Linked DNA regions of Diceros bicornis minor. The protein of the gene in region 4 purifies or fractionates together with the protein of the main gene of each other region. This does not show direct contact. Links are inferred from orthologs where the notes say so. Each region holds a gene or a part of one and is shown on either strand. Other genes may lie near its edges. The genes, in order: SCAP, ERLIN2, AMFR and INSIG1.

The links.
Region 1: the proteins of INSIG1 (region 4) and SCAP purify together in Homo sapiens (affinity purification with western blotting; 11 studies listed by BioGRID and IntAct, with this or other methods). This does not show direct contact. The link is inferred for Diceros bicornis minor from reciprocal best matches to the Homo sapiens genes INSIG1 and SCAP.
Region 2: the proteins of INSIG1 (region 4) and ERLIN2 purify together in Homo sapiens (affinity purification with western blotting; 4 studies listed by BioGRID and IntAct, with this or other methods). This does not show direct contact. The link is inferred for Diceros bicornis minor from reciprocal best matches to the Homo sapiens genes INSIG1 and ERLIN2.
Region 3: the proteins of INSIG1 (region 4) and AMFR purify together in Homo sapiens (affinity purification with western blotting; 6 studies listed by BioGRID and IntAct, with this or other methods). This does not show direct contact. The link is inferred for Diceros bicornis minor from reciprocal best matches to the Homo sapiens genes INSIG1 and AMFR.

The regions. Positions count from the first base shown.
Region 1 is NC_080741.1:48,816,870-48,824,880, forward strand, and holds the start of SCAP (sterol regulatory element-binding protein cleavage-activating protein), read right to left. Parts: upstream 3,020-8,011; 5' UTR 2,960-3,019; intron 1-2,959. UniProt on the Homo sapiens protein: Escort protein required for cholesterol as well as lipid homeostasis.
Region 2 is NC_080768.1:34,488,537-34,495,785, forward strand, and holds the start of ERLIN2 (erlin-2), read left to right. Parts: upstream 1-4,240; 5' UTR 4,241-4,907; coding exon 4,908-4,979; intron 4,980-5,445; coding exon 5,446-5,567; intron 5,568-6,880; coding exon 6,881-6,962; intron 6,963-7,249. UniProt on the Homo sapiens protein: Component of the ERLIN1/ERLIN2 complex which mediates the endoplasmic reticulum-associated degradation (ERAD) of inositol 1,4,5-trisphosphate receptors (IP3Rs) such as ITPR1.
Region 3 is NC_080771.1:9,983,640-9,990,677, forward strand, and holds the start of AMFR (E3 ubiquitin-protein ligase AMFR), read right to left. Parts: upstream 3,003-7,038; 5' UTR 2,883-3,002; coding exon 2,622-2,882; intron 1-2,621. UniProt on the Homo sapiens protein: E3 ubiquitin-protein ligase that mediates the polyubiquitination of lysine and cysteine residues on target proteins, such as CD3D, CYP3A4, CFTR, INSIG1, SOAT2/ACAT2 and APOB for proteasomal degradation.
Region 4 is NC_080742.1:100,132,270-100,139,880, reverse strand, and holds the start of INSIG1 (insulin-induced gene 1 protein), read right to left. Parts: upstream 3,011-7,611; 5' UTR 2,938-3,010; intron 2,666-2,937; exon of another isoform or gene 2,360-2,665; intron 2,258-2,359; 5' UTR 2,232-2,257; coding exon 1,820-2,231; intron 1-1,819. UniProt on the Homo sapiens protein: Oxysterol-binding protein that mediates feedback control of cholesterol synthesis by controlling both endoplasmic reticulum to Golgi transport of SCAP and degradation of HMGCR.

The DNA.
Region 1 (8,011 bases), on a different chromosome or scaffold from region 4:
CCCCAGTAGATAGCTGCGTGTCACAGCTGCACAGCCTTCCAGCCGCTGCATGCGGGACGCGGCCCCAGCATGGCCGGAGAAGCGGCGCGTCGGTGCGCGCCCGGGATCCGAACCCGGGCCGCCAGCAGCGGAGCGTGAGCACCCAACCGCTAAGCCACGGGGCTGGCCCCAAAATCTAACTTCTAAAGGGCTTTATCAGTCACTATAGCTTCAAACTTAAGCTTGGTGCTATATTTGAGACATAAAGACTATTGAAATACCAGATCCTCTTTCCTACTTGTGACTGCAATTTTTTAAATAATTTATAATTGGTTATTAATATGAAATACCATTCTCTCTGATAATGAGGAATTACACTGAGTTTCACTGGACTTCCAACTCAGGAACAAATGGTTAGCACCTTACATGTGCTAATGTAAGGCTAATAATTATGCCTTACGTAATTTATGCATTCGGAAAATGCTAAAATATCAAATAAACCAGTGGTTATCAAATGTTTTTCATTATGAATCCCCAACAACAAAAATCTGAGTATATGTCCCCAATATATGTATATTTATATATAAATTATATATGTACTGTGATAATATAGTGTACATTATAAAATACATAATAAAAATGAAGGCCGAAATAAACACAAAGATCAGTTTTAATTCTTTTTTTCCTGAGACCCACGTGCACCCTTCATGCTCACACCCTCCTCCTCTTTGGACTCCACTGCAAAGCTTATATATGGCCCAGAAACCCTGCAAGCATCCTCCGGCAGTGCCCCTGACCACTCAAGTGGAAGCTGTCAAATGCAGGGGCCAAATTGCTATCTCCTTTCTGAGTTCCACCACCGCTGACTGAAGTCTATGATGCTGGATTCCTCCCTTCACCTCGATCACCTTCTTCTGCTAGCTCTCACCTGCCAATGGGCAACAGAGCAGACTGTGAAGCCAACAGATGCAAGAACAGCATAAAGCACGGACTCCGTTGCCGGACAAACCTGGGTTTACGCCTGGGCTCTGCTTCTAATTCACTAGGTGACCCAGGGCCAGTCAGATAACATCTCTAAAACTCACCAGTAAAGGGGGTGATAACAGTATCATCTCACCTGGTTATTATGATGATTAAGTGAGATAAGCTATTATTAGAGCACCTAGCACAGTACCTAGACAGCACAAATGCTCAATAAATATTTCACCCAGAATTATTACTTCAGATGGCAAAAGAAGTCACCTGGACTTTGTTTCATCGGCCAGCTCAGGAAGGGACCAAGTTACAGTGGAAGTAGCTCAGGTAGTACAGTCAAGCACATCTGGTTTGCAGGCCTGATCCACCACTTACCAGCTGGGTGACCCTGAGAACCCAGTTTCTCTATGAGGGACAGTCTTCTCATCTGTTTATTGTGAGTGATGACAGAAACCATATATGCAGTACCCATTAGAGCCAGTGAAACTACCACTAGTGGCCAGCAAATGGCCACCAAAGTGAGGATAAGCAAACAGTACATAAAGCTAAGTGTCATTCCAGGGTCCTTGAGACGCATTCACGTGCATGGCTAGATACTAAGAGAGTGAGCATCCCTAAAGTCTACCACCAAATGTTAATAAATGCATGTGTACTAATCCCCACAGGTATGGTTTGTTGCCCACTGGACAGCTTACTTGCTCATATATGACCTCAGGCAATTCACAATCTTTATGCCTCCATTTTCTAGTCATAAACTGGGAGCAGACTTTTTACCCACCTCACAACAGTAAACTCATCTAGATAACTGGTGGGGGCAGGGAGGATTATGAAATATACGGAGACCTCTGGAGAGGTGCAGTTTTGCCACAACAGCAAAAGAAGAGAGAGAGCTCTCAAACACCAGACTAGTTCCTAATAAATAAGAAGTAATTCTTTCAATTTCAATCTATTACCAAAAGAATAAATATGGAGATACATTTACACATATTTTGTGTTTTTTACATCGTTTGTCCAGTGGGAATGCTGCAAATGTGTAAAACACCTAAAACCTAAACTATATTAACATACATTTTAAAAGATACGGGTCATCAATTAGGTATCACTCGGGAACACCTAAAATGTACTCAGTGCTAACCAGACACCCTTGACCCTGACTCCCTTGTAAAAGCTTCAATCTTTAGCACAACACCAGTAAGGACACTGCATAACCAAACTCCACAAAACATGAGGCCAGATAAAAGAAACACACACAAAGCTAACATCATTAAAGAAACCTCTTCTGTGTTCTCTTCACAAAAATTATTACAAAATCCTCACAAAGAGTTTAGTCACACAGCTCTGACTGTCACCTCAGAACGTGGGGCAGTAAGTGGCCCAAATTAGGGGGAACCCCTCCCAGAGCCCCCCCAGGGACTCCCTGTCCCTTCAGCCAACAGCATTTCTACCTGTACAACTTTCTGTGATTCAAACAGTCTGGATCCGAGGCTCCCTGCAACTAATGCTATCGTGACATTATAATCCTGTATGATATACTGAGCTAACAGACCCACCTAGAAGTAAACAGGTAACATCCGTGAGCAAAGTTTAGGTTTGGGCAAAACAGAAAACCCAAACAAAACCCAAAAAAGCTACGTGTTGCCTCTCAATTAGATCTTCCAAAAGAGGCAGGAACAGACAGCATGCTCTCCCTCTCACTCTGGAAAACCCAGACAGCCCAAAAGCAGGTTCTAGAAGCAACAGCTTCCCGAGGAACGGCGAGGCCAGGAGGCGCAACGGCGCGACCACCTCTCCAGGCAGAGGTCACCCGGGGCCAGGGATGGGGGGCGCAGTCGGGGTGGGGACGCGGCGGCCTGGTCCCGTCTCCCGGCTGCCGCCTCCCGGCCCGGCCCGGCCCGCACGGCTGCTGGACAGCGCCCACGCCTGCGCGCCCGTGCCCCCGGCGGCCCCCATCCTGGAACTCCCCGGCTGCGCGGCAGGAGGCCCAACTCCGGACCCGTGGCGGTACCTGTGGCAGCAGCAGCTCCCGGGCGGCGGCGCCGGCGGCAGGGCGCGGCGTGCGCGCTCCCGGCCCGCGGTCCGGTGCGTAGCGCGCGCGCCCCCTCTCTCCCGGTAGCCTGGCGCCCGCGCAGCTCTCCGCCCCTTCACCTCTCACCTCCTACCTTTCCCCTCCCACCCCCGCAGCTCTCCACACGTGCTCCCGATGGCGCGCGCATGCGTAGTCGAGCCCCGCCCGCGGCTCCCGCTCGCCCCCTGGCGGACGCCAGTCACACAACCCCAAGGGAGGGAGAGGTGGTGGTACAGGGCAGAGCCGGGCCGTCGGGGCGGGGCGTCAAGATGGGATAGGGCTGTAAGGACCGCACCAGGGCTTTTGACTACACGTTCCTGAGAATTATCAAGAACATGCACATGGGGCCGGCCCGGTGGCGCAAGCGGTTGGGTGCGCGCGCTCCGCTGCGGCGGCCCGGGGTTCGCTGGCCCGGATCCCGGGCGCGCACCGACGCACTGCTTTGGCAAGCCATGCTGTGGCGGCGTCCCATATAAAGTGGAGGAGGATGGGCACGGATGTTAGCCCAGGGCCGTCTTCCTCGGCATAAAAAGAGGAGGATTGGCGGATGTTAGCACAGGGCTGATCCCCTCACAAAAAAAAAAAAAAAAAAAAAACATGCACAAGATGCCCATGTTCCCTGTTTTATAACAACGAAAAATTAAAAGCAGCCCAGAGACACAACAAATGCAGATGGGTCGAATAAATTACGTCCATGAGTTTCTCTACAGCCTTTAAAAAGATTAGTTTTACAAATACTGTTGTTGAAAGTTCTTGAAAGATGGTTCAAAATGAGTTGTAGAGTCTGAGCTCATTTTTGCTAAGAACAATCCAAGGAGAGGGGTCCAGGGTGACACTGATGTGTGGTCAGTGGAGTTCTCTGGGTGGAGGAGTATGGGTGTTGGGTGTTTTCCATTTGCTGATGGGTGTTTAACCATTTTCTACATGGAAAGTGTATTTGTTGTAATAGCAATAGCAATGTCCACTGAATGGTTTTTTTTTTATAATTTTATTTATTTATTTATTTTCCCCCCAAAGCCCCAGTAGATAGTTGTATGTCATAGCTGCACGTCTTTCTAGTTACTGTATGTGGGACGCGGCCTCAGCATGGCTAGAGAAGCGGCCGGGCGATGCACGCCCAGGATCTGAACCCAGGCTGCCAGCATTGGAGCGCAAGCACTTAACCGCTAGGCCACGGGCCGGCCCAATGTCCAATGAATGTTTATTCTTGTGTCAAGTGCTGAGCTGAGCACTTCGCACACTTTGTCTCATCCCACCTTCCCGAAAACCCCGAGGTCTGTCTTGTTATTGGGTCCCACACAACGGGAAGGGGAGGCTTCCCCTGGGCTAGGGGTCGGGTCCTGGCCCGCCCAACGCTGGCCCATCCCAGGATGCTGCCCTTTGATCACACCACCCCACGCCCTCGCGGACCCGGGTCTCCAGTGTCAGGGGTCAGCCCCGCCCCACCCTGCTGCCCTAGCCATGCTCAGCCGCTCAGTTCACCGGCACGGCACCCAGCGGAGGCTACTAGCATATAGCAGACTCTGTTCCTGCCCTCAAGGGCTGCAGCGCTGAGGTTGCTTTAAAGTGCAGATATAGCCACAATGCAAGGGAGAAATTAGAGGCGGCCCTTCTGGCAGCTCCAGCCGCCTTGTCTTTCCTAGGCCTTCTTCAGAGTCTATCCTCTCCCTCAACCTTGTTCCCACTGGACTCTAGGCCACATCTCCAAGGCCGCCAAAGTCTTGCCTCCCTCCCTGCCCACCACACTATTGTCACAGTGAAATTAAATAGTAATGGGGACAATTGGCCTTGGCCCAAAGTGACCTTTAAGATTATGCCCTGTGGGCCGGCCCTGTGGCTTAGCGGCTAAGTGCGCGCACTCCGCTGCTGGCGGCCCAGGTTCGGATCCGGGCGTGCACCGACGCACGGCTTCTCCGGCCATGCTGAGGCTGCGTCCCACATACAGCAACTAGAAGGATGTGCAGCTATGACATACAACTATCTACTGGGGCTTTGGGGGAAAAATAAATAAATAAAATTATAAAAAAAAAAAAATTATGCCCTGTATTCAAAGTTGGCTTTCTGCTTTAGATGAGAATTTTTATTCTATAAAAGAAGAATTCTTTTTTTGTTTGTTATTTTTAGAGAAAGGCAGCAAAAGAGTAGTGTGAGGGAGTCTTAGACCCCTTACCCATCCTCACATCACTCTGTCCACATCTAATCCCTTGAAATGCCATCAGCCGGCCCCTCAGAAGTCATGAGCAAAAAGGATCTCACTTCTTTGTCACCAGTTCTTCCCTCTCTCTCCACTGCCTTGTTCCTTTGGGCAAATATAAAGTCAATCCAGCTTTTTTAGTTTTCTGAGTGAAACTACCGTGAGCCTGCATGACTGAGTCCCAATCCCTTTTACTGCCAAGTTCCTACAAAGAATGTGGTTCCAAACTTGCCTCAGCAGAATCACCTGGGAAATATTTAAAGTTAAACCAATAGTCTTCCTGAGCCGTACCCTAGACCCACTGGACCAGAGTCTTCTCTCTAGAGAGGGCCTGGCTTTTCACAACCTCCGCAGCAGGGACTTAGACAGCCAGACTGTATTTTGGGGACTGCTGTCACCCTTCCTTACTCACCAACCCCTTCCCACCCAACCAGACCACTCCACCAAACCTGTGTTTGCAGGGGACTGAGCCTCTGCAAGGTCTGGGCACTTTCCTCCAAACACAAAAGCCCCCAGAACTGACAAGCACTTAGCTAAGTACCTCTGTGCTTACAGCGCTATCAAGTGTCCTCCACTGCCCAAGGAGAACCCACCGAGGCCCTGTTACCGGCATGTTGGGTCCTTCTTGTCCGCCAGGATAGAAATCAAGACAGATAACAAACAGAAGTAGAAAAGTAAAAGTTTATTAGCTTGTGCACAGGAGAGGCACAAGGGAGCCGGTGCGGAAAAGGGGCAGGTGACAGGTTCTTTAGGGAGACAGATTTTCGGGCATTTTATTAGGCAAAGGCTAGGGAATGAGTGCCTCATCCTGGCATGTAGAGGTAGGGTTGTGCTTGTGCCTGTGCTGTTGTGTAGCATGCTACTATGTGTGACGCATGTATTATTAGCATCCTGGCTCTCCACCCCTGGCTGTGATTTTTAATATGGTAATGGGGCTAGGGTCACCTTCAGACAACTGCTTGGTGCTAGGGCACATGCGTAAGCCCAGGAAAGTCTCGAAACTGCGGAATGTGGATCTTGGTGGTCTCTATCTGATTCTCCTAGCTTGCGGATGGGTTAGGAGTCTTATCTTGCTAGGCCAGGGGCTTTGCAGATAGCCCTGTCTCCTAGGCTGGTTCCTGTCTCAGCCCTGTGGGGAAGCTGAGGCTCCTGAGCCCCTGGTGAGACTGCCACAGAATGCCCCCCAATCAGTGGCCATGATTTTAGGGCTTCTCTTCCAACATTTTATTATGAAAACAGGGAATAGTTAAAAGAACCATACAGTTAATGACTATATGCTCTAGATTTTACAACTGTTAATGTTTCACTTAGTATCTTATATCTATCTTAAAAAAAAAATCTATCCTTTTATCCACCTACCAATCATCTTATTTATTATGCATTTCCAGGTAAGTTGCAGATAGCTGATTTTAGTTTTTAAATGTAATTCAGGTGGAACAGCTCCATTTAGCCCTAACTAGCCAAAGCTGAAGCTTACTTCAGATTGCTCCTCATGGGAATGATCAATTCAAAAAATTTTAAAACTAAATGGAGCTTAGAGATCATCAAGAAGTATTAATTCCCAGTACTTCAGCTTCCAGGCTGGGCAAATCCTCATGACAATCTTGACAAAATAGAGGCTGGGTCTATTTCACAAATGAAGAAAGCTTCCTCAAGAGGGGAGATTTGCCCAAGGTCACTCTGATAACCGACCAGGCAGCCACAGTCTAGGACCCAGGACTCTGGGTTCCAGCCCACTGCCCAGCCACCTCAGCTTGTTATGGACACAGAGGAGGATGTTTCATAATGATAACGGTCTGTCTTTGCAATTGCTTGCACTAATAATCATGCTCACCATGAATTAAGCATTAGTGATAGCAGCTGGCAACATGATAAAGTGGAAAGGGCTGCCTCAGGGCCAGACTTCTTGGATTTGAATCCTCGTTTTGACATGCAGCAGCTGCTCTGTGGCCAGGAAAATTAATTTAACCTCAGGGAACTTCGACTTAGGAGTCAGGTTCCAAGACGCAACCAAGAACATCAACCACTGTAGTTTTCAAAAAAAAATTAAATCAGTGTGAACACATGTAAAATGTCTAGGTACCAATAAACAGTAGCCATTCTAATAGCCATGATACAATCACTAAAAACATTTAAAATCTCCAACTTGTACTGATACTCATTCAATTCCTTTATTACCTATCAAGTTCCTACCATGTATGAGACCAGGGATATAAGAAGTTAATTCCCTGCACTAGAGAAGTTGTCTTAGTGCATATCTTTAAACAAAACCTTGCAGGCAATATGATAAAGGTTATTACAGAGGTCATAATAGCAACCAATAATAATGACAAACTATTGATTGTTGGCTCCTTGCCAGCGACAGGGTTTATAATATAATCCTCATGATGGCCTTTAGAGCAGGTAAAATAAACCCCGTTTTAAGGATGCAAAAACTGAAGAACCCACAGCTTTAACAACTTGCCTGAGGTCACGCAGAGGCAGCATCAAATGTTGATCTGCCCAACCCAAAGCCCCTGAACTTCTCCCACTGAGCTTCCAAGTCCTACGCGTGGAAGGGAGTTGGTTGGCAGGAAACCAAAGAGCAAGAATCACCAAGAGGATGCTGTATGAGTGCCTTATAAGGTGCGAGTTTGCCAGATGATAAGAACAGCAGCAGTAGCTAATGCTTAAACCATGTGCCAGGTCTACTTTACACGTCATCACTTATTTGACCCTGACAACTCTTTAAAACCCATAAAACAGGCACTATTGTCTCCCCTTTTTGTAGATGATAAAACTGAAGCCTGGAGAGGCTA
Region 2 (7,249 bases), on a different chromosome or scaffold from region 4:
TGAGGAAGTAAAGACAGCAACCGTAGGTACTTTTTCAAGAAACTGCTCAAAAGGAAGGAGACAAATCACGTGAGAACTAGAGGTTTATGCAGGGTCAACGGAGGGGCTTTAAGAGAGAGGAGAGAGAGGGAGACTTGCACAAGACTGCAGGCTGCAGCTCAAGATCTGCTAGAGTGAGGAGATCGTTGAAGGCTCTAGGTTCCTGGAGGATGAGATTAAGAATCCAGGTGGAAAAGACTGGCCTAGAATAGAACATGGGTTTCCTTATTCTTTGATATTAACATACCAGGCACATAAGGTATCTCTTTGTCTACAGCAAAAAGGCATCTATCAATGATATAGAGAGATGTATGTGGACAAAATGCCATACAATCTTTTTTTAAAAATTCCTAAAGTTACTATGGATTCAGAGATGTCAAATGAATGGTCATCCCAGGCAAAACAAGCCAAGCCACACCTCTAACCACCAGGCCTCTCAGCGCAGTTTCCCAGGGTAGCAGGCTGCTTTCCCATTACTCCCCAAAGGCGCTGTGGACCTTAACCAAGTCCCCTTTCTGGAGACTTCCTCCCCTGTGCCCTCTGTTTCTCCATGAGTGAAATAAATGGGTTAGATTAAAATCACAGGCAACAATGTATATGTCCATCAACAGATGAATGGGTAAACAAATTGTTTAAATAATTCTACAATAGAATATTACACAGCAAGAAAAAGGAATGAACTATTGACATACTCAACAACATGGATGAATCTCCAAATCATTATTCTGGGTAAAAAAAATCCAGACAACCCCCCCCAAAAGAGTATATACTGTGTGATTTAATTTATATGAAATTCTACAAAATGCAAACTAATCTACAATGACAAGCAGATCAGTTTCAGCTTGGGAATTAAGGAGTCATAGAGAGGGGTGGGAGGGAGAGATTACAAAGGAGCTTGAGGAAATTTGGGGGCATGAGTCATGTGTTCATTATCTTGATTGTGGTCATATACATATGTCAAAACTTATCAAACTGTACACTTTATAGGTACTTTATTGTATGTCAATTATACCTCAATAAAGCTATAAAAACATATAATCACAAAATGATCTTTTAGGTGACTACCAACTGACTTCCAACTCAATTTTTTTTTTCAAGACTTCTCTTTGATCCCTTTACCGAACTCCCTTGAAGAACCCCAAGCAAATATCCTTTTGTTGTTAGAAGGCACCAATCCTGGTTTTTCCAACTGAAAATAAGAGGGGAAAGTTCTAAGTATCCTTCTTAAGAATTAAGGACATAATTCTTCACTCCTCTTCCCCCAAGCTCACCAAAATCGTACTGGGATCAAATGTCCTGAAAGATGACTTCTAGTCTCTGTTTAGAGCATAAAATAAGAAGAAAAATCAAAATCAAACAAAAACGTTTTCCAGCAACTTCCACTCTTGTGATATAAATGAACTGAAGCCAAAGATGTTAAGAGTTGCCTGGTTCCTTTGGAGTTAACCACCTGGTCATTAATAAAAAGGGCTCTAATTGTGAAAGAAGGGGTCTCTTCTATCTTTGAAGTGGCACTCTCACCAACAATTAGCTTGTTAGAGGACTAAACAAACAGCAATCCAGACATAGGGAGATGTGGATAGCTGTCATGGGAGTATTTTTTTTTTTTTTATCATGCTTCAACTTACAACTGCACAAAAAGAACTGGCCCAATTTAAAGTTTCGCAACTTCTGACCATCGGTCTACATTCCTGAAAGGTTACACGTGAAATAAATGTGGTGTGTGTGTGTTCAGTTGAATCATTAGTTCCTAATTCATTTACTATAATGAAGAAATAGACTTGGGATTATTTGAATTCTGTCTTTGCAATTCACAAGCTTTGTGATCTTGGGCAATCCCTCAACTTCTCTAGGCTTCAAGTTCCTCCTCTAAAATGGAGTTGACCTCAAAGGGCTGACCTGAAGATTGTATAAAATGAGAAAGGCATAGGCCCTGGGACATGGAAAGCACTCACTAATGGTTTATGAAATCTGCATTGTAAATATCCATTGAGGTATCATTTCAGAGACCCTTATCTCTTCTGATAAGCCTTCATTGGGTTATTACTCAATACCACATAACTTTAATTTTATCCTTCCCTCACCTTTTGTCATATTGATAATCCAAATCCACAAACAGGCAAGAACACATTAATGGAATCTGCTATTTAAAACGGCAATAGCTAACACTTAAAATGTGCCAAACGTTTTCCTGATTTGACATTTAATCCTCACAACAGTCCTATAAGGTTCAGACTATTATGACCCCCATTTTACAGATGAAGAAACTGAAGCACAGATAGATTAAGTCATTTTCCCAAGGTCACACAGCTAATAAGAGGCAGGGGGAGGGGAGGCAGCCCCAGATGTAAACCCAGGCAGTCAGCCTGGAGTATCTATGCTTGGCCACCATACCTCGATTTTTTAAAAATGGATTTTTAAACACTTTTGTTAAACAAATCCCCGCAGACTTACCTCCATGATAACTTTGGATATTGAGTCATAAAAATCACAGGTCTCTTAAGAAAGGGATTTTCAGAAATGTTAGATCATCATCTACTGAAGTCCACCCCCTGCCTCTCGATGGGGCCACAATGGGACAACTCAGGCCTGGTGAGAAGGATCCCAAGAACAAAATCCCACAACTTCCGCTCATAGTTCATTCCCAAGTTTCACAGTCAGGAAATTCTTAAATTACAACTAATTTAAATCCTTTATGCAGGCTAAGCCCCATTCCTTGGGCTGAAACCTCAACATTTCCATTTCTCTTACTCATTCACCCAACTATTAAATAAACCTTGATTAAGCATGCCCAGCTGAGTTATATCACCGCACGGGGAGAGAAAAAAGCTCTCAAGTTCTGACAGGATCAATCAGGAGATTGACCAAGAGTGCGGGCATGCGCGCGTGCTGGGGGTGGGATTTCCAGTGGGGGGCGGTGGGGAGAGGTCCTCATGTATGGAGGTGAACACAGAGCTCCCAGGCAGTGCCATGCAGCCCACTTGTGGCCTTAACCATATAATGCTGAGCCATCCCCACACAAAGTCCCAGAGCAAACCCGCAGAGGGAGAATGAGCCAGCCCCAAGCAGCCATGCCTGGAAAACCTACAGTTTCCTATTCCTGTGTCCTAAATCTACCACCACTAGCTTGCCATCTTCCCCGTGTAAAAGCTTTTCATTTACTGAAGGTTGTAATGAAGTGGACTCCAACTTTCTCTTCTGCAAATAAAATAACTTCAGTGGCTGAATTAGAAATGCCCCAATGTGATGGTGCTGAACAGCGAAGGCTGCGGACAACGGGAGGCCCTTAGACTAGGAGAGGCAAAGTCTGGATCCTGGTCCCGGTCCCGCCACGCCTTCAGTCTGTTTTGACTGAGCACCTGAGCACCCGAGCACCCGGGATGCTGAAGGGAAGAGGCAATCCCTGCCCTCAAGGAACTTACAGTCTAGCCAGGGAGACAACGAAGCGCACAAGCCCCTGTGTCCTGCGGCAGGAGTTAACTTACAAAGGCAGTTAAGGTCCTGATGTTAAGGAAGCGCAAAGGAGGCTTTCATCCACTGTTACCCTCGCACCTCACTGATCTTAGATTTCGTTCACTCAAGTTGGGATGATTCCTTCTTAATCGACTTTATGGTGCGGGGACCTCAGAGGCCAAAGCTCCTAGAAAAGCAAAAAGGCAATTCAAAGCAGCGACTGTTGATTAGCGACGTAAGGGTGCTAATCTGCACATTTAAAAGACCCTGCGAGCACAGGGCTAGAATGGTTGCAACTCGCTGGGACCTGCTCCGGGAAAAAAAAAAAAAACAGGCTTGGCCTAATGCGGAGGGGCCTCCTCAGCAAACTCCAAAGTCAAAATCTCGGAAAGTGACACCCTCGGTCTCAGCAGCCGCGGTCACCCTCCACGCGCTCCGCGCACCCCAGCCCTGAAATCCCAGAGCGCAGTGTTGACCGCCCAGACCGAGCCGCGGGCACCCCCTGGCGGCCACCCGCGGACACTGACCGCTCGGAGCGCGAGGGCGGGGCGAAGAACTCGGCAGGGAGGGAGTGTGATCCTCTCGCGTGGACTAATGGCGTCATCAGAGCGACGGGTCCGGAAGGAAGTAGCGTGTCGAGGGGTGTGGCGGTTTCTGCGGTTGCACAGGAGGTCGGACGAGTACGGAGCGCCTGGAGGGACAGCCTGGTACGCGGCCCCCGCCCCTTAGTGGGCGCGCTGGGCCTAGTTGCGGCTGTCGGCCGGAGCCGATGAGCGGTTCTCCCGGGCCCCCGCCCCAGCAGCCTCGCTCCCTCAGCCGGCCCACTCCGGGAGCGAGAACGCGACGCTCCTCTGTCCCTTCCCTTCCCGCGATCCCGCAGGCGGGACCGAGCGGAGGCTCTCGGAGCCCAGCCCCTCCCCAGGGCGTGTGGGACGCGCGACCCTCTCTCGGAAGAGGACAGGGAAGGGGCGCGAGGTGGGGCGGGGTGACCTCGGGGAGGGAAGAGCTGTTGCGGAAAGGATGCGGCTGCAGATCGGTAGCAGGAGGCCGCCACCGTAAAATAAGCGCCTCGCGGGTGTCCGCGCCCGAGCTATGTTGGACCCGGGCGGCAGAACCCACGCTCTGCGCGGGTGGGCCGCGCACGCCTGCCTGCCTTCTGCTGCCCGTTACCATAGGGTTTCCAGATCATTCAGTGTTCGGAAAATGAGTCTAGATGCCAACTCTTTCGCATCCTGGTGCCTGAACGCAGTTGTCCCAGGAGCCCAGAGTCCTCCCAGCTTGGGGAACCCCCTTTCTCTAACCATGGAGTTGGGACCTGTCAGGGGCAAAGTGTCAGGTATATGGGAGGGAGTGTGTCTTCAGTCTTGTTCAGAACCCTGTCCCGTGAAGGGCCAAAGGAATAACTGGGAAGGTGCATGACAGGCCAAAGAATCCCACCTTGGACCCCTGCTCGCATGCTGTCTCTGTCGCTCCAGCATCTGAAAGGAGTAAATAATGGTTTCCTGTGAAATGACGGGCAATTAGGACTGGGAGGCTCTGACCAGAATTACATAGCCACAACTGCCGGTCATCTGACATCCTCTGTAATTTGGGCCAACATACTGCAGCTGCCTCTCTTCCCTTTTACTAGTATGAGTGGCTCCAGTGACAGCACGTGCGTGTTCACAGGAAGGGAAGGCTGTGTTCTGAACGCTGCCCAATTAGCACGGGTTCCTCGGGCCACGGCTGGAGCCACTGCCTTTTCAAGAGGTGGGAATATAGTTCTACAGTTAAGGAATGGGAATGTTGACTGAGAACAAGGTTTGAAGAGAGTTGTAGACCTAGCCATGTGTTGATACTATAGCAGGCTGGATAAGAGCCGCTTTGAGGGAGCTCAGCTTGGTGAGGTGCTCTTGCTGTCATAGCTTGTCTCCTGCATCAGACCACACACATTTTCCCGTATTTTTTTCCTAGGATAAAGGTTCACTGATGGCTCAGTTGGGAGCAATTGTGGCTGTGGCTGCCAGCTTCTTTTGTGCATCTCTCTTCTCAGCTGTGCACAAGATAGAAGAGGGACATATTGGGGTGTATTACAGGTAAGGCAGAGACAGGGAGAAACTTGCAACTTCCTCTTACATGACTCTCCTTCCTAATCACTGTCTAGCAGATTCTGCTGGATATCTGTGTTTATATTTTGTTGAATAGGGGAGTCTTTTAGATTGAGCTTTTGTGTCAGTGACCATGGGGAGGGGAATACACACACATACATATATACACATATATAGTTGTAAATATACAATTTAGTAGTCTAAGTTGGTGCCATGGGTGGTGATTGATAAATGTGTATAGATATGTAGAGACAAAACCTAAAGGAAACCAGTGCTCCTTGCAGATCATCTCTGAAACATTGTTTTCTCCTACATCCCTTTGGGCATCTTGGTGCCACAAGGTTACCTCTGATGAGTACCAGTTCTTGATGGCAACTTGAGGAGCTAGCCTGCTGTGCTAATTTGAACCTACTGTTTAAAATTAACATTTCAGGAAATGTGAAAGAGCCTGCAGGTTTATTTATATTAATTAAGGCAAGCCTGAGGATAGTGGTTCTTACAATAATGGAGCCCATTATGTCACTATTTTATTGCTCTTTTTAAAAAAAAAAATGTATCTTCGACTTCATAATGTAAAGTGAAGAAGCACTTATAAATCTTGAGGTGCTTTCCTTTTAGTAACCTCCATAACCAAGTTGTTGCTTTAGCCTTTATGAACCCCTTCGTGTATGTGCCCTATGATGCTTATTTCTAGATTTCCAATAGCAAGTTCTAAATGTCTGATTGAGTTTCCCTCTCTACTTTAATTATTTCTCCCCACCACCTGCTTTTATGTCCCCAAAAGAGGCTTTTAATTTTGTTATTTACATATAACTTGATTAAAAGATAACTCGCCTGCCAAAAAGTAATATATTAAAATGATTTCTAAAGCATACTTAAAATTATTCTTTTGGTTGTTCATGTCACTGGACTCCAACATTAGTGCAGTTAATTGATGGCAGTATTACTGCATTTAACTGCCCTAATGGATTTCCACAAACTCAAGGGATATGACAAAATAAAACAGACTTCCTCTCTTATCTGAAGTACAGCCAGGGATTCTGCTGTCTTTATTCTACTTAACCTGTGTGCCTATCTTTCTCACTGCAAAAGCGTGAATAATGGTTTTATGTTTTACCATCAGGCTTCCTAGAATATTACAGTTGAGCCAAGAGGAAGAAAGGGATCAGTGGACGTGGCTCTGACACATGTCACCCTATATTAAACGTTTGTGGGGCTGAAGAGAAAGTTGGCCGAAACCATGTTGCTGTAATAGATACCTCTTGCTAAACTGAACCTGCCTCTCTCTTCCTCCTCTGCAGAGGCGGTGCCCTGCTGACTTCCACCAGCGGCCCTGGTTTCCATCTCATGCTCCCTTTCATCACATCATATAAGTCTGTGCAGGTATACTTGGCTTGTGTGGTATGGATGGACGACTGCAGATTTGGGGTGCTGACTAATGCATGATTTGGAATTTAGCTATTGGATGAGTATAATACCTTTTCAAGGAATCATTTAAGAGTCAGTTTTATTTATATATGTATATATATATAGAAAGAATGAGGCTCCACGAGCCATTTACTCTGGAGCTTGATTGTTGAACTAGCTGAATGGGGTCATTTCCTTGGCCCATCAGCCCCAGTTGGGCATTATTTCTTCACTTCAAGACAAAGCCAGGGAGGAATCTGTTC
Region 3 (7,038 bases), on a different chromosome or scaffold from region 4:
TATCCCAGGTGACAATGAACCAGGTTGCCAGAGGTCCACACTTTGAAAAATACACTTTCAGAGGGGTTGCTCACCTCTCCCTTTCTCTCACAGCAGGGTCACTTCCCCCATCTCCTGTGACTCCTGGGTCTCCCCTTCACCTTCCCAACCTCACTCTTAAATGAAAGGATCCAATGTAATTTCAATTTAACAACCGACTTTATGAACCGCTCTGCACGTGCTCTCCCCTGTCCTCCATACTCCAGTCTGAGCTTCACATGCTGTTTTCTCTACCTGGAATGCCCTTTGCTGCTTGCTGAGACCCTTCCCACCTTCCAAGGCTGGGTTCAAATATCACCTTCCATGCATCCTTCCCTGGGCATCGTTTTCTCTTTCCTCCAAACTCCACCATATTTTCTTTATATATCTACTATCATTTATCGAATTTTGCCTTATTTGTATATGGATTGCTTTGAGAGTAGGGGGAAAGTGTTCACAGCCATGCCCTCCAGAGTGCTCCAAATAGTACCTTTGAGGGTTTTGAAATGAGTTTGTTAACCAAAAACCTCTTGAGATGCTATCAGACCCATACTAATCTGAACTGTGCTCTACAAAGATAAGTTTTAGACATTCCAATACACCAAATAATAGCAGCCAGATTGCAAACTGGCCAAAAGATCAGCTTTTGTTTTGTCTTGCTTGGTTTTAAAAAATTGAATCTGAATGCCTTCGGACAGAGAGCAAAACAGATCCATTTTGACAAAGGCCCCACCACATATTCACTCAATAAAGCTATCAGTCAGCCCACGGAGGAAGGCCTCTGAGATTGTGATTCCTACTCAGCTAGTGAAGCAGAAACCATGTAATGGGTGCTGAGGGTCTGAGAAACCAAGGAAGGCCATGATGGAAGCGTGAAAACCAAGGAGCAAAGATGGAAGAAAAACAATAAGAAGATCAATTGAGAAAGGAAACAGACAGGAAGAAATGTCAAACTTGCATGAGGCAAGTCCTTTACTGAAAAAGCTGGGAAGAAAAGGAAACTTTCTTAAAAGTAATAATTTTCACAGAAAAATCAACAGGCCTTTATGTAATATTTTATGAAGAGCTGTTAACCTTGGAACTTGAACGTGGGTTTTGTAAAAAGAAACTCCGAGGGAAAAAAGAATCACGAATCACTACTAGTAGTTGTTATATAAATACTATAGTGGTTCCTTCTCAAAGGCTTATTCATATCTTATACTTAAAAAAATATGTCAAAGACTACATGATGATGTTAACATCTGGCAAAAACCCTCTTCACATCACTTTAACTTGTTTACCTGCTTAAGTCAAACACAAAAATAGATCTGAAATTAAACAAGAGATGGGAGTTGAGTTCTTTCACTTTTCCCGTCTTCAGTTCTGTAAGGTCCAACTTCACAGCAGCAGAGCACCCGAACCTCACCCTCCACTGCCTTCCACTAATCTCTTCATGAGAAGGACCAGGAGACTTAATCCACAGCCCACGGAGTTCCTAAATCCCACTGCTTCCTGATGAAGCACAGTGGGATTAATTATTACAAATGAGTTGTATATCATTCTATATACTTGGAATACTAATCTCAGTCATTTACAGCCTACTCTCCATCCCAAATGGGAACTCTCAGGAGGGGACAAGACTCAAGACGCCACAGTATATCCAAGCGACACACTTCAACCTTGCAGCAACTTTTCTGATCACTGTAGGGTTTATATAAAGAAGTATTTACATTAGGCCAAGGCGGAAGCAAAGTTCTTTAGCCAAAATACTCCTGATCTGCCCCGCCTGAAATTATCTGTTCTAATCAGCGAACCCAGCATGTCTGCCTTGTAAAGGCTGCTTATCGTGCATTGACAGACGAACTGGAAACCTTGTTTTAAAATGGATCACCAAAAGGAGAAATCCTGAGTTAAAATGATGAGTGTTTTGCTGCCTTCAGACATCAAAGGAAACCGTGACGAATCACCAGGTGAGAGCGGCAGGAGAGGAAGCACGGTCTGCAGGTTTGTTTGACCCAAAGAGGACAATCGCAGGCTAAACGGCAAAAAAGTGGTGGGAGACGGCCTCTCGCCGAATAGGAACGTCCAAACACCCAAATGCCTAAATGCTCCCAGACTCGACCCCGAATTCCGGCTGTGCCCTCTCCTCTCCAGGGGAAACCCTACAACACTGCCGTGCACGACCGGGTCAGAAAGGCCTGTCAGCTTCCCTCCACCAGGGAACACAGCAGCGGGGCCACTGACCCGCCGGGCCCAGCCTCCCCCGAGCCTGCTCTCTGAGGGCTTCCAGTCTCCTCCCCGGGGGGCCCTCAGGAACCCCCACCCCGCTCCCCATCTTTGACTTCTACTCCGCCCCTCCAGCACCTAACCTCTTCCCTCCCTCGCGCCCCCGCGCCCCCCCCGACCCCTTCCTCAGGCCCTCCAACTCGGCCGCGCCTCCTCACGCCCATCTCCTCCCGCCCCGGGCCAGCCCCACAGCCCCCCTCCTCCGGCAGCGCGCTCGCGGGCGGGGCCCCAGGCTTCTCACTCGGCGGGCCCCAGGGAGGGGACCCGGGCCCCAGCCACGCCCCCCACAGATAATGGGTGACATGGCGGCCCCCGCCCCTCGCGGCGGCCTCGCTCACCCACACGAACAGGCTGTCCGAGAGCAGGTACTGGGCCACGTCGCGGGCGCGGGGTCCCCCGGCGCTCGGGCGGGCGAGCGCGGCCGGCTCCGGCAGCAGCGGGGCCGTTGGCGACTCCTGCTCGCCGCGCCCGGGCCCGGCCTCGGGCTGGCTGAGGGCGCGGTAGGCGCTGACGATGGTGCCGAGCAGGGCCAGGCCGCTGAGGCCCGTGTAGGTGCGGAGGCTGGGCCAGGGGAAGCGCTCGAGGAAGAGCAACGGCATGGCGGCAGCGGCGGCCTCCGGCCCCCAGGCCTCCCCGCGCTGCGGCCAGGCCGCCGCGGCGGCCTCGCGAACGGCGCCCACGGGCTCTGGCGTCGCTGCCGCCGCTGCCGCCGCCGCCGCCGCCGCCGCGCCGGGCCAGGCCGGGCCGCTCCTGGCTGCTCGCGCCGCTCCGCCCCGCGCCGCTGCCGCTGCTGCCCCTGCCGGCGCGGAAGAGCCTCGGCGGGCGCGGGGCGGGCCGCCGCCCCCCGCAGGGTGCGGGCGGGACGGGCGCGGGGGCGCGGCCTCCGTCCCCCGCCCCCAGCGCTCGCGCCGCCGCCGGGCCGGCCAAGGCCCAGCGCCCAGCGTGCTGCCCCGCCGGCCCAGCTCCGCCGCCCGCGGACGCGCGGGGCACCCGCCCGGCCGAGCCGAAGCGCACTCAGGCCCGGCGGCGCTGACGGGCGGTGGGGCCCAGGCCGCGTGGCGGCGCGCAGGACGCGGGCACCCGGGCCACCGGGCGTCCGGCCGCCTGGCCCTTCGTTCCCTTTAACCCCTCCTAAGCAGGTTGCCCCTGAGCACCCCTGTGGGCCTAGCAGCTTCCCCGGTGGCCGAAAGAGGAGATGGTGCTTAGGGAATAATAGAGGCCTTGACCTCAAAGAAAGACTATTAACAGTCTGAAATTTCTCCCCAACAAAGCTGTCTTCAGTTTCTGCTGTTTGCTAGTAGCCTCGCACAGTCTAAAACGAACCGCATTTAGCGGGAAATAAAAGTGTTCCCTCGTACACTAGGTAGGAATGTAAAATAGTGCAGCTACTGCAGAAAACGGTCTCTCAGTTCCTCAAAAAGTTAAACCTAAGAGTAACCATTTGACCTAGCAATTCCAGTCCTAGGTATACACCCAAGAGAAGTGAAAACATACCTCCACACAAAACTTGTGCACAAATGTTGGTAGCAGCATTACTTATAATAGCCCGAGGGTGGAAACAACCCTCATGTCCACCAAGTGATGAATCCATAAATAAGGGATATCCATATGATGGGATATTATTCAGCCATAAAAATGAGTGAAGTACTGATGCAACGTGAACGGACCTTGAAAACATGGTAACTGCAAGCAGCCAGACAAAAAACACCACATATTGTGACTCTTTGTAGGAAATGTCCAGAACAGGCAAATACATTTACAGATACAGAAAGTAGATTAATGGTTGCTTAGGGATGGGGAAATGAGGGAACTGGAGGGTAAAAACTAAATATGGTTTTCTGAAGTGATGAAAATGTTCTAAAATTGTGGTGATGGTTGCACAACTCTGAATACACTAAAAATCATTTAAGTGTACGCTTTAAATGGTGAGATATATCTCAATGTGTATTATAGTTCAGTAAAGCTGTTACAAAGAAAAAGTGCTACCAAAAAAAAAATGTTAGCTTGGGGGTCTTATTCTTCATTGTATCTCCAAGGCCTGTAATAGTGCCTGGCCCACAGCAGGTGCTCAGTCAATTTTTGATGCATCTTACAAACTTTCAAAAGAAAAGAAATTGTCTTCAAAATCTCTTTTATACCTAATACTCTAATTCGAAAAGCCTACTAATTGGAAACTAAAAAAGATCTCTCAAGGTTATTACCATCTACTTTGGAAGTTTTAGGATCATCCTATTAAAGGGCCTGTGATGGAACAGAACAGTTTGGCTTTTGTGGGGGCCACACACCAACTTTTTTATATGAGGTCTATATAGACCTCATATAGAGCTCAATGTCCATGTGAATTTACACATACTTGTTTATGAAGTCTATATGAATATTAGACTTCAGTTCCCTTTGGTTCTCCACCCTGCAGCCATTTGATTAAAACGCTACTTTCAACTTTATTGGTAAAATAAAGGAAAGCTTTATTTTGAAAAAATGAAGATAGCGATTTTCCAGGGAAGTTACTGTTCTACTTTATCTGAGCTCCCATAATTTTTAAACCACACTATCAGGTGATCCATATTCAGTCTAAGTCACATTACAGTTACATAATACCACACCAACTGTGTCCCATCACCATAAGAGGCTGCTGTTAATAGATCTGCCCTTATTAAGGTACAATATTCCACCATCTTGAATTTCAAAGTGCTATACTCTTTATTAAATTATATTTTGAGATAACCACTACTTTCTAAGTGTTAAAAAAAAACTTTAGACAACCTGTTTTCTGGAATGACTTTGTGAAGTGTCTAATAGCAACTTTTTACTTTTGGCTCTGACTATATTAAAACTAGTCTAACTAAATTAAACTTAGAAGCTTGAACTTTCTCAATATTCAATATAAGAATAGGTGAAATTAACCTAACTATATAATTTTTAATTCACATTTTAAAAGATTTTAGATGTTTGTGTCTGGATATTTTACTAGGATAATTAGTATTTGTTCTACCAACATTTTTTCCTTTCCCTTTCCAAGAAGGTAACCAGGCTTTTGCACATCCATCTCTCATGGCTTCTTTTTGGCAAGGACGGAACCCACCTTCTAAAGTCAGCTAATGCTTCTGGTTCTTTGTGCTGCATCCTGCTCCATGAGAGGACCAGGGGAGGAGGCAAGAGACAGAAGGGATGAATATTTAGTGTACCCAGGAAGGCTGGACCATAGGCACAGGGACTACCTGTATCAGTCAAGTTCCAAGGCCCAAGTGTGACATGGAGGCAACAGCACCAGACTTTAAGGGCCTGGTCCAGCTTGGACAAGAAAGGGTCTGTGGAGTCCGTGACGGAAGCCAGAGCTCTCCGCACCCCCACTTTCATTTCAGAGTACCATTTATGCCTTCTGGATTCTTGTGAGACTTTGGGTGGGTCCTCACTCCCAATAGTGACTGAGAGACTGAATTTCCTTCCATCTTTGTGGGATGATGGCTCTGATTTAGTTTGATTTAAAGGAAATGTGTCATTTCAAACAGACCAGAGTTTGTATGGAGTAAGATTCACACCTAGATACAGTATTGCTATTTTCATTTTTTAAAATATTTGAAATCCTTTCATATGCGTGACCTCATGTGATTTTCACCATCCTGTGAGAAGGGCTGAGTAGCTTTTTGTTAAGATTCTCAACGTCCTAGGAACTGAACATCATTATCTAATCCAGTAGCCTTAAATGGACTCCCATGGAATTCCGGTGTTTCCTTAGCTGGACCAATGTATTCCACTACTAAATCTAGCAGAAGAGGAAAACTAACCAACTCCTCAAGTTTGTGCGGAAAAAACTAAGTTAATGGGTATATTTCAATCTTTACCTTTTCTTTCATAATTTTTCATAGCTCTTTGGTGCCTGCTATAAAATACACAAGTAGTAAAATTTTCAGAACTTTGCAATAACTTTATCAGGTTTTGTTCAATATTTGTTCAGCTATAAAGCCTCAAGGCTATGGTTTTATTACACATACATTCTCATATTTTGGGTATAAATTGTTTCTATTTAAGATGCTGAAATTAAATTACACAGCATTACATAAGCAGCAAGCATGGTGTCACAGAACATCACGACTGTCTGGCAAGTTTGAGGAAAAAAAACTGTAGGAGTGAACACTCTTTATAGATGAGGAAATGGAGTCCTCAATGATATAACAACACAGACTTAACACAATTGTGAGGCAATTTCTAAATCCCAATCTTCCCAGCTATGAGAATAGGTGAAACTAACCCAATAATATAAGGTTATTTTTTATTTGCATTTATTTGCACCAGGTACCAAATCCAGTGACCGCTTCACACTGGAGGAAACTGAATCTGCCTATGAACACTGCTAACACACAATGGAGGAGTGTGAGGGGAGGGCAACATCGATGTCCCAGGTCTTCAGGCCCTTGCTATTACGTCAAGCTGTCTCTCACCTAATGGCCCCTAGCCACTAACAGTGAAAAAGAACCCTGCAGGATTTCTAATGGCACACTAAGGTTGGAGCCACACAAACAATCAGTCATTCTATTTTAAATTTTTTTTTATTGAAATGACAATAAAATAAAAAAACAGTGACCATTTTAATCAAACTTTTACTTTACAAATATAAAAATATAACCAAAACTTAAACAGTTTCTTTTATACATTTCTATAAACTTAATGCCAGAAAAATCCTCAAAGCCAAACTATAAATGATGCTTGTACACTATGATGTAAGCACAGTAACCAAAAGTTGAAGTTTTTAAATGC
Region 4 (7,611 bases):
ACCGAGGCTGGAAAGCCACACAGTTGTCCCACCCGGGTGTTCTATGAAAGACGTCACCATTTTAGGTTCTTGAACAGAGAAACAAGAAACACAGTTTTAGCTAAACATTCAAATGAAAGATTTTCAGTTTCAATTTCATATTACATTTTATCAAGTTCTAACTCTAAAATGGAACCCAAACAGCTCTATAATTTACTTCACTATAACTTAATCTTACCTTTTAAGGTGAAAAGCTAAATAGGTGAAAAGGCACTATGGAATTTTTCCCTTATGCTCTTGGCTGATGGTAAAAAAAAAAAAAAAAAAAAGAGTAGGGTACGAAAAATTGTGTTTCAGATATTCCTGGAATTCCTTGAAGCTTCAATTACAAATAAAGCCTAAACTGTTCCATTTTTAAGATCAAGTTTTTGATTCAAAGAAAGAAACTACTGCGCCAAATGTGTATGAAAAATGGAATTTTGCATCTAGATCTATTTCTCAAAAAGGATTTTTAATAGTATAGCCAGATATTTAAAGTGTTTAAAAGAACAAAGTAGGACCCTATCTTTCTGAGAACAAAGATGAAAAGTCTACCCACTGCTTCCTAACTACAGTATGGCTCTGATGACTGTCCTAGCTGGAACCAGGCTCTCCATCACAAGCCTCACGCCTTCCTGCTGTTTTAAGTGAGTCTGCCGAGAAGGTGACGTGTTTCCACAGTATAGGGGAGACACCCAGACTCCAGGGAGGCTGTGTGCAGAGCTATGAACAGTGGCCCTGCCACTTACTGGCTGCGGCCCCTTGGACACAGGCACTCAGTCTCCCTGTGATCCCCATCTGTAAAATGGAGCTGTAGCAGAGCAGTGCTGCAAGGACGAAAGGAAGCAAAGCACATAAAATGCGACGTGGGCATCACAGTGCACACGTGTCAGCTACAGAGCCAACGGCAGGGCACTCCTGCGACCCTGCCATCACCCACACACGCCTGTTCTGCCCTCTGTCCCACTCCCCCTGCGCTTCAGCAGCTGGTGGACTTGGAGGCTGCAGGAGCAGTGGACACGTTTGTTAATCCGTGAATGACGTGTGACTAGAGCAGCACTAAGTGATCTTCTAGGCCAAGAGCAATTCAGCGTTTTAATAAAACCAGCTAAATAACCAAGAAATTCTACTAAAAACAGGCAGTCCACCTGCCCACAGTTTAGACTGACCCAGAGTCATGTTTTGCGGCATCTCCGTGACTAGTTACGGGAACTCACACCTAAACCCTGAACGAGGGGTAAACCCTGAACGAGGGGTTACTGTTTCCTCAGCAGCTCTGGGGGAAAGGTCTGGCTTTGGCCACGTCCACTTGGCCATCCTGCAAAAGGAAGTGGGAGAGGCTGCTCCCTGGCAACGCCTCTGCCCACTGTGCCCACGTGACAGGTTTGTTTTCAGTCACCCAGCAGCGTAGCATGTTCTCGCGGGCAACCAATAGCAGTGCAGTCCCGCGGCTCACCAGTTCTGCAGGTGGCCAATCCGGGGGCCACTCGCTCGGGATGACAGCTGTGGGGCTCCCCTAACACTGTCCCCACTGCCAGGTCAGTAAGGGGGAAGGGCCTCGGCAGCCTGGCACAAGCCCGGAACAGCCAATTATCTCCCCACCTCATCTCCATCACTGAGCTTTCTCCAAGCTCCAGAGACTAGCATCCGGGGGTTCAATATCCTCTCCACCCCCTTCCCCACTAAATACAAGGACTGGAGACGCACACTTGTCCTCTGTGGATGTTCCATTTTCAAACAAATGTTTCTCATAGGCTGAAGAGCGTTTTTAACCAAACAGCCATCTTTTCTTTCTACTCACCAGCTGCTGTGCCACAACAGGGAGGAACCCACCAGGCTGAGGAGAAGATGGTGGCAATCACTTCCTCAGGGAATAGGGTGACATTCCTCTGGACCTGCAGCAGGTTGAGCACCAGGGCTAGGACCACCCCGACCGAGAAAAGCACCAGGCTCCTCTGCACCAAGTGGTGATGCCAGCTGTTAGTGTGGCCGCTGCTGCCACCACGGCCCCCCACACCAGGGCTCCGCAGCCCACGAGAGGCGTCAGTGTCCAGGGCACGGGGGGCCATCAGCCGAGAAGGGCCGGACGCGGAGGAGTTGATCATTTCCCCCACTTTGGCCGCCAGCCCTCCGGCACCGGCTCTCGGGTGGCTTCTGTGCCTCAGGCGGTCAGCACAGGAACAGCTCCAGAAGTTCTCGTCCAATCTGGGCATCAGTCACCAGAGTCAGGCAGACTTTCCTAGAAGAAAAAAGGGGTCGGAGAGGAGGAATCGCCATCAAGTTCATTTCCAAGCGACACGGCAGGTCTGGAAGAGCCCGTCAGAAGGAAGGCTATGCTCACATCCATCACCAGCTCGTGCAGGAAAACTCCCTAGTCCCTTGGGGATTCAGCCGGACAGGGCAGCCCACACCGCAGTACCACGGGGATGGACTGGCAAGGGCACCCACGGAGGAAGCGAGGGCTGCGATCAGGGACAGCCAGGTGTTAGGTCGCCCGAGCGTTGCAGAGCCCTCTGAGCTCCCCACCCGCCAAGTGCTCCTCCGCATAAACCCTGAAGTGCTGGTCCCGTCCAGTCCAAAAGTTTTGCAGACTCCGCCCGTTCGCAGGAAGCAGAGGCTAGCGGGGCGGCAGGACAAGTTACTGGGCTCCTACCGGATGGAGGGAACCACAGACGAGCCCACTGGGGTCAGGGGTGCCGGCCCCGGCCCGGGGCTGGGGTCGGGGAGTACGCCGAGGCCCGAGGGTCGGGGTGGGAGCCGCAGCTCGCGATCAAGGCCGTCTGCCCCACTTCCGGGAGGGGAGGCTGCGGGGTGGGGGGCGCCCGGCCCTCGACATCCCACCCTCGACACTCCCGGCCGCACCCTGGCCGCTGCCCCTTCCACCTCGGCCCCCCGGCCGCTCCGCCGCGCCGCACGCACCTATCCAGGGGCGCCCGCCCGCGGGCTCGCCGGGAGAGGAGGTCGCGGATAAGGGTCGCAGCCCGCGGCGCCCAGTGCGCGGAGAGACTTATAAAGCGGGCGGCGGGGCGCAGGGTCACGTGACCCCGGCCCGTCCGCCCGCCCCGCCCACGCGCCCGGGGGCGTGGCCTCCGCGCGCCCCGCCCCGCCCGCGCGCCCGTGCGCTCGCTGTCTGGTGAGGCGGCCGCGGCCAATCGGGGGCGGGCGGCCCATATGACGTCAGCACACGCCACCGCCGCCCCGCGCCCGGCGCCGGCTCGGGAGCGCGGACGGACGGACGGCGGGCGGACGGGGCCGCGGGGAGCGAGGGCGCCCCGGGCGCGGGGTCGGGGGCGGACGGGGTTTGGGGGGCGGACCCGGGGACAGGGCTGGAGGCACGGACCGGGCTGGGGAGGGAAGAGCGGGCGCTCCGGGCCTCCCCGCTCCGCGGCCCCGGTGCGGCCTCCTGCCGGCTCCCCGCTGCCCGGCCCGATGCATCGCGCGCCGATTCCGACGGGAAGGCGGGAGAGCCGTTTTCAGATCCACGCAGCCGCCGGCCGCTGGGCATCCCTCGCGTGAACAAACTGGACTCTAGATCCTCGCCCACACCTGGCCGATTGATAAGCCTCCCTCCTAACCTGCTGCCCTCCGCGCGTCGTCGTCGGGTGACCGCGCTCTGCACCTGCCGAGTCCCCTCGTGATGCTCTGACCTCCATTCAGTGTCCGGCTTCCTGACGCTCCCGGTGGTCACCCCCCCTGCTAATTGAAAGCGAGTTCATGCACGCGGTGACCAGGAGGCACCCGGCAGGCAGTAAGGGCGCAGAGATAGTAGTTTATTGTGTGAGTGCAAGGATGTTCAAGGTACTTCTTTGTTTACCAGCTACCAAAGTGATTCAGAAACCTTTTTGACACAAAATCCTTTGTGGAAATATAAGTGATGAAAATTTCATTCACATGATAATTTCTTCCTGTCCCTAATTGTCTTTCCTCACATTTGGAAAGCAAATCATCAAAACCACTCGGGAAAAAATAAAATATTGTTTTACCTTGTTGAGGAGTAATGTATTCATATCGTGTTTGCCATATCACACCACCTAAATAGGAGGACAGGCCTCGTGCCAATTGAAAACCCACGTCTTATTGAGCAAGATGGTGTTATTTAACACGTTCCTCAACAACGGAGAAAGAGGTTGTGGTCTTTTGTACTGTCTGCTGATGCGTGGAGATTGAGAGAGGAAGTTTGTGCTCTAAATAGCAAATCTCATGGCCAAGAGACCCTACAGGCTTGGGCACCGTGAAATACCATTGTGGGTGGCATCTTCAACATCAAGCTTTGTGGCTATATGCCAGAAAGTTAAAAAAAAAGAAAACCTCAAACATCTGCCTGAGGTATCAGTATTTCTCAAAGTTCATTTATTTGGGGGGATTCACGTGAGTTTGTGATAATAGCACAGGAGAGTTCAGGGAAAAGTAGGCTGACAGTGGCTGTGTTCATACTCCTTGACTGTCAGAAGTGGTTCACTGGGAAACTTGAGAGGCACTGTGTAAAGACATTGCCGTTTGTTAGCTTGTTGCTGCTGCCCCAGGGTGAGTACTGGTTTCTCTTTTCTGCCACCGCTTACTTACGGGCCACACAGCCTGTTTGTGGTGTGGATCGTACACCCAGCCATGATGCCAACCTGGCTCTAACTTAACCTAATCTTTTTTACTTCTATGAGAGGATAAATTTTAAAAAGTGTCATCATTGTGGATTAAAACTGAAAATTGCTCTCAAACGCTTCTGTTCAATCAAGACAGCATTTGCTAATGATGTGACTTATTTTCCTTTCTTGAGCATGACCCAGACAACGTGGGAGTGGATGGGATGGAGGGGTTCCCTCTGTACCTCTCCCTGTGGGTCGGGCAGAGTCAGGCTCTCACGCTCTGTACAGGCCTCTATGAGCCCTGTTCTCTGTATGCTTTGTTCCCAAAGGCTCAAAGCAGTTCTGATTTCAAGAAATATCGTAATCTGGGTCTTGGCCCTTAGCTCCACTCCACCTTGCCTAAGTGCATGAAGATATATGTATTTATACCATCACAGTAACACTGGAACTTTGTAATAGCAAAAAAATAAAAAACTGCCCAACTGTCAACCAATGGAAAACTCATTAGATAAATGATGGCACCTCTGTACCATGGGATGCTGTATAATTGAGTTATTGCTTTTTCAACCATCAGAAGCCTGTGCTGTGTCTTCCCAACCCCACCATCAGCCTCAAGTCCCATACACACAGGTTGAGAAGCATTGGTATAAATCAAGCTTTAACCTCATGGAGATGCACCTACATCATAGCCTTGACCCTGAAATGTAGGCGTGTCGTGGATTGAATTAGGAAACGCCAGCAAATGCAGGAAGCTTCTGTTTAGCACATCAGCTTTCAAAAACTGGTTTATTCAGGTGGGTGAGGCCCAGCAAGCAGAGTGGCAGCTCTTCGCTTATCTGCCTGGCCGCTGTGCACAGAGATTCCTTACAGCACAGAAATCAGTACATCTGCCTGCTGGGATCTAAGATGGTTTTCTTTACCTTTTTTCTCCTGCCATTCTGCCTAGCCATGCAGACTATCCCAGTATCTCTTTCAGCTGTAGTACCCTTTATGTACAAGCACAGACCTTACAAAAATATTTTATGAGTTCCTGTCTTGTCTCTCCTGCGTGAAAGGGGGCTGTCAATTCTGTTAGCTAATTGGTGTGGTAAGGTCTGTTCATTTGGTTACTCTGTTCTCTCTACCCAAGCCGAGACTAACACAGCCCAGCCTCTCTGACTCTGTCCCCTCTCGCATCTGTACTGAGACTGAACCGGGGGGAGCACAGAAGCCCTGTGGACCTGTGGGAAGGTGGGAGGGATGCCTGTGGGCTGCGTTCTGTCCATCCAGGGTACCATTTAGTTCTTAATTGTGCCACTTTATATTAATCGTTATAGATGTTCTATTATGCAAGGAAAGCTTGCTATTGCTTACAAACTAAACACAGTGCTATCCCTTCTCCCCAAAGCACTGAGTAAGGACACGACACCTCTGTAGTTCTTCTGGACCAGAAGAATCATGGGATGGTGGGGTATCCTAAGGACTTTGAGACGTCATGTAGTGAGCAATCTACTGCCTTTAGTCTGTATTCCTAGTACGCTTTTTATTATAACATTAACAACCATTGATAATAAATATTTTAAAAAATAGGATAGAACGCTAAGCCTATTATTTTTAATAGAAAAATATCACATGCTCATTGTAAAACAGTCAGGAAATATGGAAAAATATATTTTAAAACAAATCCATAATGCCACCACCTAGAGATACTGTAACATTTTAGGGTGTGTATTTCCAGATATTTTTCCTATACATAAATGTGCATTTTAAAAAAAGCACAAGTAGGATCCTACTTCACATGGAGTGAAACCAGGTCTTCAGAGATCATAAATATCTTTCAAAGTCAGTCAGTATAGACTACATCACCATTTTTTAACAGCTTTTTTGAGATATAATTCACAAACACTGCAATTACCCCATTTAAAGTGTACAATTCAAGGGCTTTTAATATATTCACAGAGTTGCCCAACTATCACCACAGTCAATTTTAGAACATTTTCATCAGCCCAAAAAGAAACCCGGGGTGCTTTAGCGGTCATCCTCCTTACCCACCCGGCACCCCACCCTCCAGGCCTCTACTCCTCAGCCCAGGCAACCACTGATCTACTTGGTGTCTCTATACATTTTCCTGTCCCGGAGTTTCATGTGAATGGGATTATATACTATGTGGTCTTTTGTGATTGGCTTCTCTCACTTAGCATAATGTTTCAAAGTTCATCCACCTTGTTTCGTGTATCAGTACTTCATTCCTTTTTATGGCTGATTGATATCCCATTATATGGAAATACCACGTTTCGTTTATCCATTCACCTGTTGATGGACAATTGCGTTGTTTTCACTTTTTGGCTGTGCTGAATCATGCTGCAATAAGCTCTTGAGTGTTTGTGTGTGAGCAAAGGTTTTGACTTCTCTTGGGTGGGACTGCTGCTCACATGGTAACTCTGTGTCTACTTGCTTGTGGAACTGCTGGACTCTTTTCCGAAGCAGCTGCTCCGTTTTATGTTCCCATCAGCAGTGTGTGAGGGTTCTGATGTCTCCACAGCCTTGCCAACGCTTGTTGCTATCTGACTTTTTGGTTCCAGTCATGCCAGTTTATGTGAACTGGTTATGTCGCTGTTTTGATAGCAGGGTGATATTGATACCGGCTCAACGCAAGGTTGACATAAGGGAAGCCATATTGTAAGAAAGAAACCCTATTGTAACGTTGAATGACCTCCGATTAGCCCAGACATGCTCTGTGGATTTTATGGCCCCTGCCAGCTACAACAAGTCAATAACTTTGTTCTTTTGAGTTCCTTAGGAATGTGATGACCCCAGGCACAGAGTCTTTGCTGATAGCCCTCATCAATGACAACTGACAGATCAGGGTAGAGGGCGTTGCTCTGCTCTCTGATGCATATCCAGTAAAACAAAAGACTATCAGGAACTAAGACTAGATATCTGCCCCAACCCGGAGATCAGATTGATGCCCCCACCAGGAGACTAGCTGCCTCCCCCACCCAGAGACCAGCCCCCTTTATAACTGGCCTGTGGT